Linked DNA regions of Schizosaccharomyces pombe. The gene in region 2 interacts genetically with the main gene of each other region. Each region holds a gene or a part of one and is shown on either strand. Other genes may lie near its edges. The genes, in order: spf38, lin1 and rtf2.

The links.
Region 1: mutations in lin1 (region 2) and spf38 together harm fitness more than expected from each alone (negative genetic interaction), as found in Schizosaccharomyces pombe (one large-scale study listed by BioGRID).
Region 3: mutations in lin1 (region 2) and rtf2 together harm fitness more than expected from each alone (negative genetic interaction), as found in Schizosaccharomyces pombe (one large-scale study listed by BioGRID).

Annotation. Positions count from the first base shown.
Region 1 is NC_003423.3:4,402,638-4,406,537, forward strand, and holds spf38 (U5 snRNP complex subunit Spf38), read left to right. Parts: upstream 1-1,792; 5' UTR 1,793-1,923; coding exon 1,924-1,968; exon of another isoform or gene 1,969-2,009; coding exon 2,010-2,114; exon of another isoform or gene 2,115-2,152; coding exon 2,153-2,225; exon of another isoform or gene 2,226-2,274; coding exon 2,275-2,534; intron 2,535-2,579; coding exon 2,580-2,823; intron 2,824-2,884; coding exon 2,885-3,180; 3' UTR 3,181-3,249; downstream 3,250-3,900. Other genes in the region: adn2 (transcription factor), read right to left, coding at 1-210; U1 snRNP-associated protein Usp109, read left to right, coding at 3,334-3,350, 3,390-3,900. UniProt on the Schizosaccharomyces pombe protein: Involved in mRNA splicing where it associates with cdc5 and the other cwf proteins as part of the spliceosome.
Region 2 is NC_003423.3:1,524,937-1,529,085, reverse strand, and holds lin1 (U5 snRNP complex subunit LIN1), read left to right. Parts: upstream 1-1,969; 5' UTR 1,970-2,120; coding exon 2,121-2,238; exon of another isoform or gene 2,239-2,284; coding exon 2,285-3,393; 3' UTR 3,394-3,509; downstream 3,510-4,149. Other genes in the region: protein Emc7, read right to left, coding at 611-1,180; chaperone, AAA family ATPase Rvb2, read right to left, coding at 3,581-4,149.
Region 3 is NC_003424.3:651,590-655,154, forward strand, and holds rtf2 (DNA replication termination factor Rtf2), read right to left. Parts: upstream 1,684-3,565; 5' UTR 1,646-1,683; coding exon 1,633-1,645; intron 1,590-1,632; coding exon 1,174-1,589; exon of another isoform or gene 1,110-1,173; coding exon 987-1,109; exon of another isoform or gene 941-986; coding exon 770-940; 3' UTR 636-769; downstream 1-635. Other genes in the region: phosphatidylinositol synthase (CDP-diacylglycerol--inositol 3-phosphatidyltransferase) Pis1, read left to right, coding at 1-259; 3' tRNA-processing endonuclease tRNAse Z L2 Trz1, read left to right, coding at 2,185-2,569, 2,607-3,565. UniProt on the Schizosaccharomyces pombe protein: Putative splicing factor that is required for the correct splicing of a subset of pre-mRNAs. Required for the correct splicing of rtf1, a replication termination factor that mediates site-specific replication termination at replication barrier RTS1.

The DNA.
Region 1 (3,900 bases), 2.9 Mb from region 2:
CGTTTGTACTTGTGCTTCACGGCCAAAAGCTCGGGCTGCCTCACAATAATCCTTCTTGATTAAATAATCATATATGTACGAATTCAGTAAGGATTGTGTGGTCCTATCGGCATTATTTACGTGCGGTTGTTTTTGATCTTTTTGTAAATCATGTTTCTGTCCTTGCTGGCTTGGCAATCCGACGCCGGACCTTAAACCTGGATCAGCCATAAACTAGAAATGTGCAGAAGTTAGGTGTTGCGAACGAGAATATGGATCTACAACGATGCACGCTGGCGATATATAATTTTAAAGATCTGCGCACGCTATACTACCGCAACATTTTGTATATCATATTTTCATTTTAGTTTTCTATCAATTACTGAAAATCATAAAATCATAAATGTTATGTTTGAATTTAGTTACAGAGTAAATCAAAACCCTTGAAGAGTAAAACTCTATAGAGGTTTCTTATTTTCCAAGGCAAGTCATGCTCTAAAAACATTTTTAATAATAGTTATTATGTATATATTCGGATTTGAATTATCTAAAATGGGCTATATTAAAATATGGTTCTAAGATGATATACTTTCAATGAATCAACCAGTGGTAATTTCAGATTTTATATATGCAAACTTACTAACTGAAAACTGTGGAATTAAGGGATAGGTGGGTTTAGAAAGTAAATGTAAATTGATATTTCTTCATCCGTAAAAACATCATAATGAATTAAGAATACTATTAGCCGCAGTTTTTTGTAAGAATGCTGTAATTATGTAGATAGTATCAATTATTCTTGTTTTATTTACCTTGCCTTGGAAAATATACATATCTACAGCTTTTTACATAAGTTAGCGATGTAAATACTAAGCACTGGAACTCATATTATCATTTTCTAAAGTTGTTAGAAATGCTTTTAGTAGTAAAGATTTTGGAATGTGTTCACTATTCGAAAACTAGTTGCAAATTGTGTTTTTCAGTAAATCAAGCAAGATGCTTAATTTTGGCACTACAAGTTTTTAGAAAGTACTTACATGAAGATTGGAAGCTTTGCGTAAATTTGTTTAGTTTCACATATTCCACATTTTAGTTTTCTATAATTCATTTTTTATCAAGTAGAAAATTTAGTTTCTCTCTTTCATTGCAAATGCTATAATCCGGCTTTAGAACTACTATCTACTGGATAATCCTTTATTATTGCCATGCTAGATTCCCTGTAGAATTATGGATTTTGATATTAATCAAAAATTAATTTCTTAAAGTACAAATATATTCGACGGGAGAAAGTTTATGAAATTTTGTATGCGGTTATACCTAATCAGTGATTATCTCGTTGTTTATATTTCAATTTTTGAGGCGACTAGAATAGACAATTCAGCCCAGAAAACCGTACATACAATTTTTAAGTAGAAAAATTTGTTAATAACTATACCCAAAAAAAATGTGATTACGCATCTTTAGCTAATGGCAAAATGCTTCTCAAGTGTTTTTGATGGTGGTAAAATCGAGATAGACTAGATATTAAAGCCGCTCGTTAAATATTATAAGACATTAATTGATACTAGTGTTTTTCCTCAAGCACAAACAAGGTCTGTATATAGTATACGGAATAGATATTTCTTACAATTTATTTATACTGTTTAAACGAATTTTAAATGGCTTCCATGAGAAGGGTAAATTTTTAGGGATTTTGCCTGTAATCAAAATGTTGTTCATATAAATTCTACTTTAAGTCCTGTTTATAGGAATGAGCTCATCATTCCTCGTTATTTGAACACCAAAGAAAAGTCCGATTTATTGGTATTTTGGTTGTGACAGAAACCCCTGCGACGATTGTCGATCCGTTTTATATATTTTCCACTCCCGTCCCTGCTATTCATTTTACGTTCTAATTCTGAAAACTGTCAATCAGAAATTGCAGTTATTATATATAGTAAACTGGAAATGGATAAACGAAAGGAATCGGAGAGTGCGACTAATGGACATTTAGTATGTTCGATTGCTAAAAAAACATGCACTAATATAAATAGGTTAAAAGAATTAGAATCCAAGATTCTAGCTTAATAACGGAGGGTTCTGTATTGCAACGAACATCTGATCTCAATGTTCCAAACCTACAGATGTTTGGGCATACGGTATGGTTGTATTGAAATAAATCATACTAACGCTTTAGGCTGAAGTTTTAGTCGCCAGGTTCGATCCTTCTGGATCATACTTTGCTTCTGGCGGTATGGATAGACAGATACGTAAGTGCAGCTGTAATTAAAATGTTGATTTATAATAACTGTGGTTTAGTTCTTTGGAATGTGTTTGGTGACGTTAAAAACTACGGAGTATTAAATGGCTGCAAGGGAGCCATAACTGATTTACAGTGGAGCAGGGATTCACGCGTAGTTTACTGTTCTTCCTCCGATACACACCTCATGTCTTGGGACGCTGTCTCTGGTCAAAAAATCCGGAAGCATAAAGGCCACGCTGGCGTGGTGAATGCTTTAGACGTTTTAAAAGTTGGTTCCGAACTTCTGACTTCTGTAAGTGATGATTGTACTATGAAGGTATGGATATTGTTATTAAAATATGGAATAGTTACTAAATTTAAGGTATGGGACTCGCGGTCAAAAGACTGCATAAAAACAATAGAAGAAAAATATCCCTTAACGGCTGTCGCAATAGCGCAGCAAGGAACCCAAGTTTTTATCGGTGGTATTGACGGAGCTATTAAAATCTGGGATTTACGAAACAATCACTGCTCGCATGTTCTGAAAGGGCATAAAGATATCATTACTAGTTTGGCTATATCTAAAGATGGATCTAGCTTACTTTCTAATTCTATGGACAACACGGGTATGCTAATTTTTTTTGGGTGTTTGATCAACCTTTGTACTAATGCTATTTTAATTTATAGTTCGAATATTTGATGTAAAACCTTTTGCTTCTGCTCAACGACAGTTGCAAATTTTTGAAGGAGCTATTCACGGACAGGAGCATAATTTGTTAGGTGTTGCCTGGAGTCGTAATTCACGATTCGTTGGTGCTGGTAGCTCTGATAAAAACGTATATGTTTGGTCAGCCACAGGCGATTTACGTTATGTATTACCCGGACATGAGGGTTCAGTAAATCACGTTGACTTTCATCCACATCAGGACATCATTCTTTCATGTTCCTCAGATCGAACAATATTTCTTGGGGAATTGAATTAATTTTTATTTCATGAATAATTTTTCAATAAACATTAAATACTATTAAAATTTTCTGTAGAACTTATTATTTGACGATCTTAGTTGTCAAGCCTGTTATAATTCCTATAACTACAAGTTTCTTAGATTTCGATTAATTATCAAATTATATGCGTTATGAGTACATCTTTATGGTAATGATACATCATCTAATCTTATTTCTAATTAAACAGGTTAAATAACTTAGAAGAATGGATGAATGAGGACTATATTCGAGCAATTTTTGAAAATGTTAGAAAAGTAAACTATTATGAAGATGGCGAGTCGGGAGCTATTTTAAAAACTTGCTGCATTGAATTTGAGAGTCAAGATGCTGCTAGGAATGCTTTAGAAAGGCAATCTACTCAACGATTAATATCTGGGAACCCGATCTCTTTAGATGTGGTTCCTGAATGGCAAAAACCTAGTTACTATATGCTTTTCATTAGTAACATTGATCCAGAAGTGTCTGAAAATGATATAAAATACTTGTTTCAACGTTATAACTTTATTTCTGCTCGTGTTCTACGTTGTGTTGACGGGACTTCAACTAGCATTGCTTTCATATGGTTAGCTAATGAAAGTGATATACAAAACGCGCAGGTAGAGATGCAGGGTGCCTTTTGTTTAAAAAGATCTATATTAGTTCATTCCGTCAAATCCGATAAAAATACTTACTTAAGTTCGCCTGGGTTTTATGGTACA
Region 2 (4,149 bases):
CAAAAAAAAAGTGGTTGGGTTTGGTTTGGTTAGCTTCGTGCTACGTAATGTCAACATATAGTGAACTACATTACACTGTCAAATTCGTTGTTGATATATGGATAAATAAAAACGAAGAAGGTTGGTGTGAAAAGTAAATAAAAAAAATTGATAAAATATTTTACACTAAATTTCTATTATTTTCCTTGCATCTATATTTACCTTTTGTTGCATTTAAAGGCATCAAGTTTACAAACTAGCGACTTTAAAGAAAATTTGGTGAAGGTAATTTTTCAGAAGCTAATATTACTAAACGGGAATGACTGAATCAATAAGCGAAATAAATTAAACAACTGTTCATCTTTTTCGAAATTCCCATTTAGTACCAATTCTTTTAGCAAACGAATTCTATTAATTGACTACGAGTTCTATCTACTGAAGATATAGTTTTCTACATTTGAGCATGATTTAATGCCCGAATAGAATTTTGACTAACAAATAATTATCGAGTCAAAGAAAAAACTGAAATCTAAATGTTGACCAATTGTGGTCCACTTTTTTCCCTTTTTTCTGCAAGACAAGTTCCTATTCCAAGTAAAATAAGTTTCACTAACTATTATAGGTAGCTTAATCAAGCAGTTTTTTTCTCAGCAGCCTCTGCAAGCCTAGCTTGCTCCAATGCCTTGGCTTCAATGTTAAGTTTTGGAAGGATAAATACAAGAACAACAGAAGCTAAGGAAAGCAACATCATTGGGCTTTTTAATAAACGTATCAGGGAAAACTTTCTTGGCTCCTTCAAATAATCGCGTTTTAGAACAGCACGGACTTTAATAGGATAACTAGTATTCTTAGCGGTCGAACTAGCTGGACGTTTTTCGGCAGGCGAAGTATAGTAAGGGTAGACGATCGACTCATTGATTATGATGTGAAATTCGGAGAATTCATAGTCTATACTTTCTAACCGTAAGAAATATATTTCATCAGGGACATTGGGAAATGTAAAACTACCATCTCTCTCCACTACTGTCTCAAACGTTTTATTGCTAGAGATCAATCTGGCTCTGGTATCATAAGACAATAAATTAATCTTGGGAAGGATAGTATTGGTTAATACTTTTCCATATACTTCAGCTTGTAACGATTGCTGAATGCAACCAGCAAAACATAAAACCGATAACAGCAAAAATGTGTGTAATTTCATTTTTTTTAATAGATAAAGAAGGTAGCTTTCAAAAAATTGTGAGACAGTAAAGAATGGATGTCCACGGTTGAGCAGGGACTATTGAATGTCAATTATTAATTTTCAAACAGGGTCAGATAATAAACGAATCTTGAGGTTTAATAAGAAAATAATAGATGAAAGAAAATGCGCAATTTAATAAACAAGAACAGTTTTCCGAACTTGATAAGTCACTACAGTGTTTGCTTTTAGATGAATGACCTTACTTCGTGCTCCAACAGTTATCAGTAAATAGGATAACGAAAAATAAGAAACTATGGGATTCCAAATACCACACTTATACGAAGCTTGTTATATAGTAAGGTAAATAGAAAAATAATTACATATTTGATAACAATGCAGATATCTTAAAGATAAAATGCAAATTAAATGGAAAAAGGTCACTCCATAATAGAATTTTTTGAATTGAATGAGAGCTTGATGTCTTATTTTACTGTTATACAGCGAATCTATACCAAGTTTCACATGCAATGTCACTCTCAGGATGATACCGTTCTTACGTACGGCGATATTATTATATGATTTTGAAATTGTAAAATTTCACGTTTGTTTTGTACATACAGGATTAATTTTCAGTAGTTTTTTATTTTGAAGAAAGAATCAATAATCAATATACTACTGGTATAACGCACAATCACTTATTCGTTGTCAGTAGATAATGCTTCATCTCTTTATTTTGCTAAACGTTCTTTAACAGAGATGTTTTCAGCTACGTAATTTTATAACTGCATGTAAAAAAAATACTATAGCATGAGGATGAGATTATTATTCGTCGTGCATTATTTTTTGGTAATATTTATTTTTGTATAATCATTTTATTTTTTCTATTGTTTCAGATTTAACACTTAATAATCTTGCACTCATAACGAGTTCGCAATTGCAACTACATTTTGTGTGAACAATGAAGCGTACGCTCAGAAACCCTGGCAATTCGAGTACAGTGGGTGATGTTCACGATGTTTTTTTTGAATACGATGTAAGCAATGTAGGGAGAAAACGTCCTAGGACAAAAGAAGAGGGTATGCAAATTCATTTGTTGATTTCTGTCTAACATTCAATTCACAGGATATTATGAATCTGAATCTGAAGAAGATGAAGACCAAATTCTGAATAAAGAGAAGAAGGAAGGGCAATCGGAAGATATGTTTTCTGATACTTCGGAAGATGAGAAGCGTACTCTGCCAAATGATGAAGCGCAAAAGCGACGTGATTTCATTGAAAATGGCGATGCTGAAAGATTAGCACATAAAGGTTTGCGAAATAAAGAGGTTTTGAACGACGATTCTGATGATGAGGACGATAACGGAAAGTATTCAAAGTTAAGATATGAAGATATAGAAGGCCAAGAAGATACAAATCAGGCTAACGACCTCGACGCGGATGAAGAAGGCAGTGAGATATCAGTTCCCTCAAGCCCAAAACGAATGTCCTTTAACTTAAAAGAAGATATGGAGGAGGGTGATTTTGACGAAAATGGTAATTTCATACGAAAAAATTATGACCCAGAGTCTCAGTATGATGCATGGCTCAATGGCAGTGTTTCTAATAAAAAAAGCATTGCAGCAGCCAGAGAAGCGGAGCAGAAGCGTAAGGAAATGGAAAACAGAAGAAGGAATCAAGAATTGGAAGAATTTAGTAAACTGCCTTTTTCCACGGTTCCTGAAGCGTTATCGTTTTTTATCGCAAGAATGGAGAGAGATGAAAGTATTTTAGAATTTTTGCAGAGACAAAGTGGTAACAAAAAATCGTATAAGAAAAAGAAAAATAATACCGCAGAGGGCATTTCTCCTGAAAGGAAAAGTGCTGACGCTTTTCGGAAAAAATTAATAGAACTTATAACTGCTGGTCTAACTTTTCTAGAGGATAAAATTGGAAAGGAAGATATATACTCGGAAACTAGAGAATCTCTTCAAAGAATTTATCAAAAACTCACGTCAAATTCATGGTCTTCTCCTGTTAGTTACGACGACTCAAATTCTTCACAGTACAACTTTAAGTGGGAATTTGACGATAAGACGTACGGCCCTTATACCGCAAGCCAAATACAGGCTTGGAGTAATGAAGGTTATTTTACGGATGCCAAGCATGCAGCATTTATACAATTAGCAAATATGGATGAATGGATGTATCCTAACAATATCTGCTTTTGCGATGTAGTTTCTTTAAAGAAATAGTCAAAGTGGATAATAAACTATTTTATTTCATTATATAACAGAACTTATAGCTTGTACCTTTGAATTAACGGAAAACTATAATTCGATAAATAAGTCTAAATTAAACTTGTCTTGCAACCTTTATAAAGACTTGCTATTTAATACTTTCATATTCTTAACTATAACAAAATATTCGTCTTTAGTGCTTTTAATCTTCCTGCATTGCAACTGCATTATCTTGTGCACCTGAAGCCGACCACTCATTTTCGGTTATGTAATTCTTTCCGTATTCCTCTAAATATTCAACACTTCTTTTTTGATCCAAAAATAATTCGTAAACACGTCGGATATCGGACTCCTCAATCGTAGCACTTTTGCGCTTCAAAGCAACCTGATTAGATGAAGATATAAGAAGTAATGCGTAGCGAAGACTAGTCTCCTGACCAATAGTGGAAAGGTAATCTAAAGCTGAAGGCTCCATATCAACATCTTCTTCTTGACAGCGAATCTTCAAGATTTCTTTTACCTCTTCATGGGAATAGGGCAATGTAGAAATAATCAGCATACGATCTAACAAATCAACTGGAATGCCATGAGGGGAACGATAATTTGTACCTCGAATACGAGTAATTCCTCGATTAGAAGCCATAATAACGATAGGAGCTAGGTCATCTTCCAATGCGCGATTGAAAAAAGAAAAGCACTCAATATCTAGCATATGAACTTCATCAACGAAAAGTACACCAGGGACTATTTCGGCTTTTCCTTCTTCTCTCC
Region 3 (3,565 bases), on a different chromosome or scaffold from region 2:
TAATGAGATGTTTTTCGTTGCTCTTTATTTACTATCTTTTACCCCACGTACTCCTCCCAAACTTGGCTACTTACCAGTTCCTTCCTTCATTTATTCGACTGGAGAGCTCCCTCTTTCCTATCCGACCCTTCTAGCCGTTTTATGTGGTCCTATTTGCCTTGCCAAACAAATTATTAACGTTGTTCAGCTGGTGAATGCTGCCAATGCCTTGGTTAAAATGGATGTTGAGCAAAGAAGGGCTGCAAAGAAGCTTCAATAAACACAGGGTTATCCTATTTTCATATTTTCTGTTTACCAAATTTTCTATTTTTAATCAGGATGGTTTCAATCTGAACATCCTCGACCTTAGATCTGCAAGCTTACTTTGTGCATTCTCTTTGATTTTACCTCTTATAATTCAATACCTTTTTTTTGACATTTTCTCTTTCTAAAAGCCTTAATTCTATTGGGCTAAGCACTTTTGTGTTAAGCTTAGCCTTTGGGATTATTTTCTGTCACCTTTAAAAGCTTGGTTGGAGTGATTGCACTGATTAATAAAAAAATGCATCCACAACGTGAAGCCATTCGTCGAAAAGCTTATTTAGAAATAGAATGCTTTACTTATTTAAGCGATATAACTTTCACTTTACTTCAATAAATTTAATCGTTCGTTGCATTAATTTAAAAACATTGTTTATGATAAAAAAATCCTATTTAAATGTACATAGTAGATTTTTTTTTAAAAGATAAATGTATGTGTGTATTAATTTACCCATAAATAAAGCGTCCCTCAAATCTTCACCCTTTTTACACGTTCCATGTCAGTTACACTGGTCTCAGATTTTACGTTTTCTCCATCCAACATTCTATTTGTCCGCAATTCATGCTTAGCGTGCTTGCTATTTGATTTTGAAACATGTTTTCGTTTTTTATCGCCGTTTTTATTTGATTTCTTTGAAGCCTAAGTATGTTAGTCATTGCCGAATTTTGAAAATTCTGTGAAGTACCTTATTTAAACTGTGAGTCTTTTCAGATAATGCGAGATCAAGAAGGCGTTTACTTAATGTTTTTAATTGCTCAGCATTCGGGTTGATGGGAATAACGTCTTTTTCCTCGTAGACCTGATTACACTGATGTTGTGTTAGCAATAACTCAAGGGTTGGAAATGCTTTTCTTAGCTATCGATAGACTTACTTGAAAACACATTTTCTCGCCAAACTGCTTCAAGGCAGAGTATTCAAATACATGACCGCAAGGCACTATGTAGGCGAATTGGTATGTATCAGACATTACATGTCTTGTAATCGGGCATAACCATAGCACTTTACCGGAATCATCCAGCTCAACTTGAAGTTGTACCACGTCTTTCAGTGATTTTATATGAGAAGGGCTTTTCGGAACACTTGACCTATCTAACAGCATTTGTAAAATGCTTGCTTTGTTATACAGTTTTCCTAAACCACACGATACAATTGGAGGGTATAAGGGCTCATCCGTAATGGCACACTGAGAAAATTGAGAAGATTTTACAGAACGTTTAAAGTCTATATCAAGCGGCGGTACTTTGCCAGGCTCTTTCACTAATTCGTTTCGGGTTGGTAATGATCCTCCTAAAACATGTTAAAATTTAGAAGCAAAATAAACGAATCCTACCGTCATTTCCCATAGTTTACTTGTGTGTATTAAATATTACAGAGTAGTGTTAAGTAAGCATATTTCAAAGAAGCGCTTACATTCCACGACTGCATTTACTGCATTCTACTATAATGCACTAAAATTAAACGTTAGGTTTCGTTACGCAAGATATACCGAAATGTCAAATACAATTTTCGCTTCAATGATCTTCGCTTATTTTTAAACCTTATTTAAATTGCAAACATTTGTGATGGGAATACGTAGTTGCGTTAAGGACTTACGAAAGTATACACCAAAAGCAGCAATTTTTCTTCTACAACAGCTGGTTTGTAGGTTTCAACTACGAGTTAACTGCTTCTTTCATACATCTAAATCAATGTTATATGAAACATTTTGTGAAATCCGAAACCTCTTACTCTTAGTATCCAGTTGAGTTCGAAAATTGGTACTGAGTAGCTATTAGTATTTTAGGCCCCTTTACTTACTTTTGTTTTTGTTAACTTAGATTTCGGACCCTTTTTTTTTTATTCATATTGAACCTTTTCCTTTTTCTTTTTCAGGTCGTGTTAAATGTCGAAAACTGTTAATTTTAGGGCAACAAAAAATTTCTATTTACAATTTGTGAGCGTCAGTTCTCGGGATACATCTTGTATTCCCTGCATCCACTTATTTTTTGATTCTAAGAGGTATGTATTTGGAAGCGTAGGGGAAGGTTGTCAAAGAGCTATACTCTCCCAACAGCTTCGATTATCAAAGATTAAAGATGTCTTCTTAATGCAAGGATCTTCAATATCATCACCAGATACATATGATTCTTCTTCTTCATCGTCTACTACCTCTGTTTCTGATATGCTACAGCTGGATGATCGGGACAAAGTTATTGTATCTGAACGTAATAGTATGTGCTCGACTGTAAACTATCCTACATGGTGGGATTCTTGTGGTGGGTTTCCAGGTAAGTGTTAAATATATTTAATAATTTCTGACAATAGGCTTTTTGCTGTCTCTCAATGATATTTCGGAACCTGGGGAAACCGGAGAAGCTAGTCCTTTTGTCCTTCATGGACCTAGTGAAGTTCATCAGTTTTTATCTTCGATGCGGCATTTCACTTATCATACGAATGTAAATTTAACGGTACAGGGATATACTTCGGCTGAGGCCCCAGTATTCGTTGATGAAAATATTTGTGTAACTCCGGTAGTTGTTTCACTAGTTAAAAATTCTTTTAAAAAAAGGAAGCATGAAAACATTAACAGAGGTACAAATGCAAGACCATTAAAAGAGGATAGAGCAAATACTTCTCCTCATTGGTATTCTCACGTTTCCAATGATACATCATTCGTCGTTGAGAATGCAATGTATAACACTCCGGCTCCTTTGGAACCAGACAAGCCAGAGCTGTTTATTTCTTATATTGTTCAATCCCATCCTACCCCAGGGAAATTTGACGCCGCAAAAGCAAAATCGCTTGGTATCACGAAAGGATTAGACTGTGGTAGACTCGCTCGAGGAGAACCTGTAACTCTTGAAAACGGAAAAACAGTATATCCAAAAGAAGTGATTGGTCCTTCTATTCCTGGCTCCTCCTTTTTTATTATTCATTGCCCCAACGAACTCGTAATTGACTTGGTCATTGAAAATCATAAATGGACAAATGCACCTAAACCTGTTTGTGTCATTCATTCGGTTACACCAGAAGTATACAAAAATCCACGTTATCAGAGCTGGATTTCTTCATTCCCAAGTGAGGTGAGCCATCTAATTGCTTCGACTGAAGTAAACGAAGTAATAAATTATCCTAGGAGTGCAGTCGCTATTGCAACACTTAATTTGTTAGATTCAAAAGTTTTTCCTTTAGGCTTTAACTGCTATGAAGTTAAAAATGTACAAAAAAACAATCGAATTGCTTTTGCCAAACCCAAACTGCGTTTTGCGTTTGGAAAAAAAACT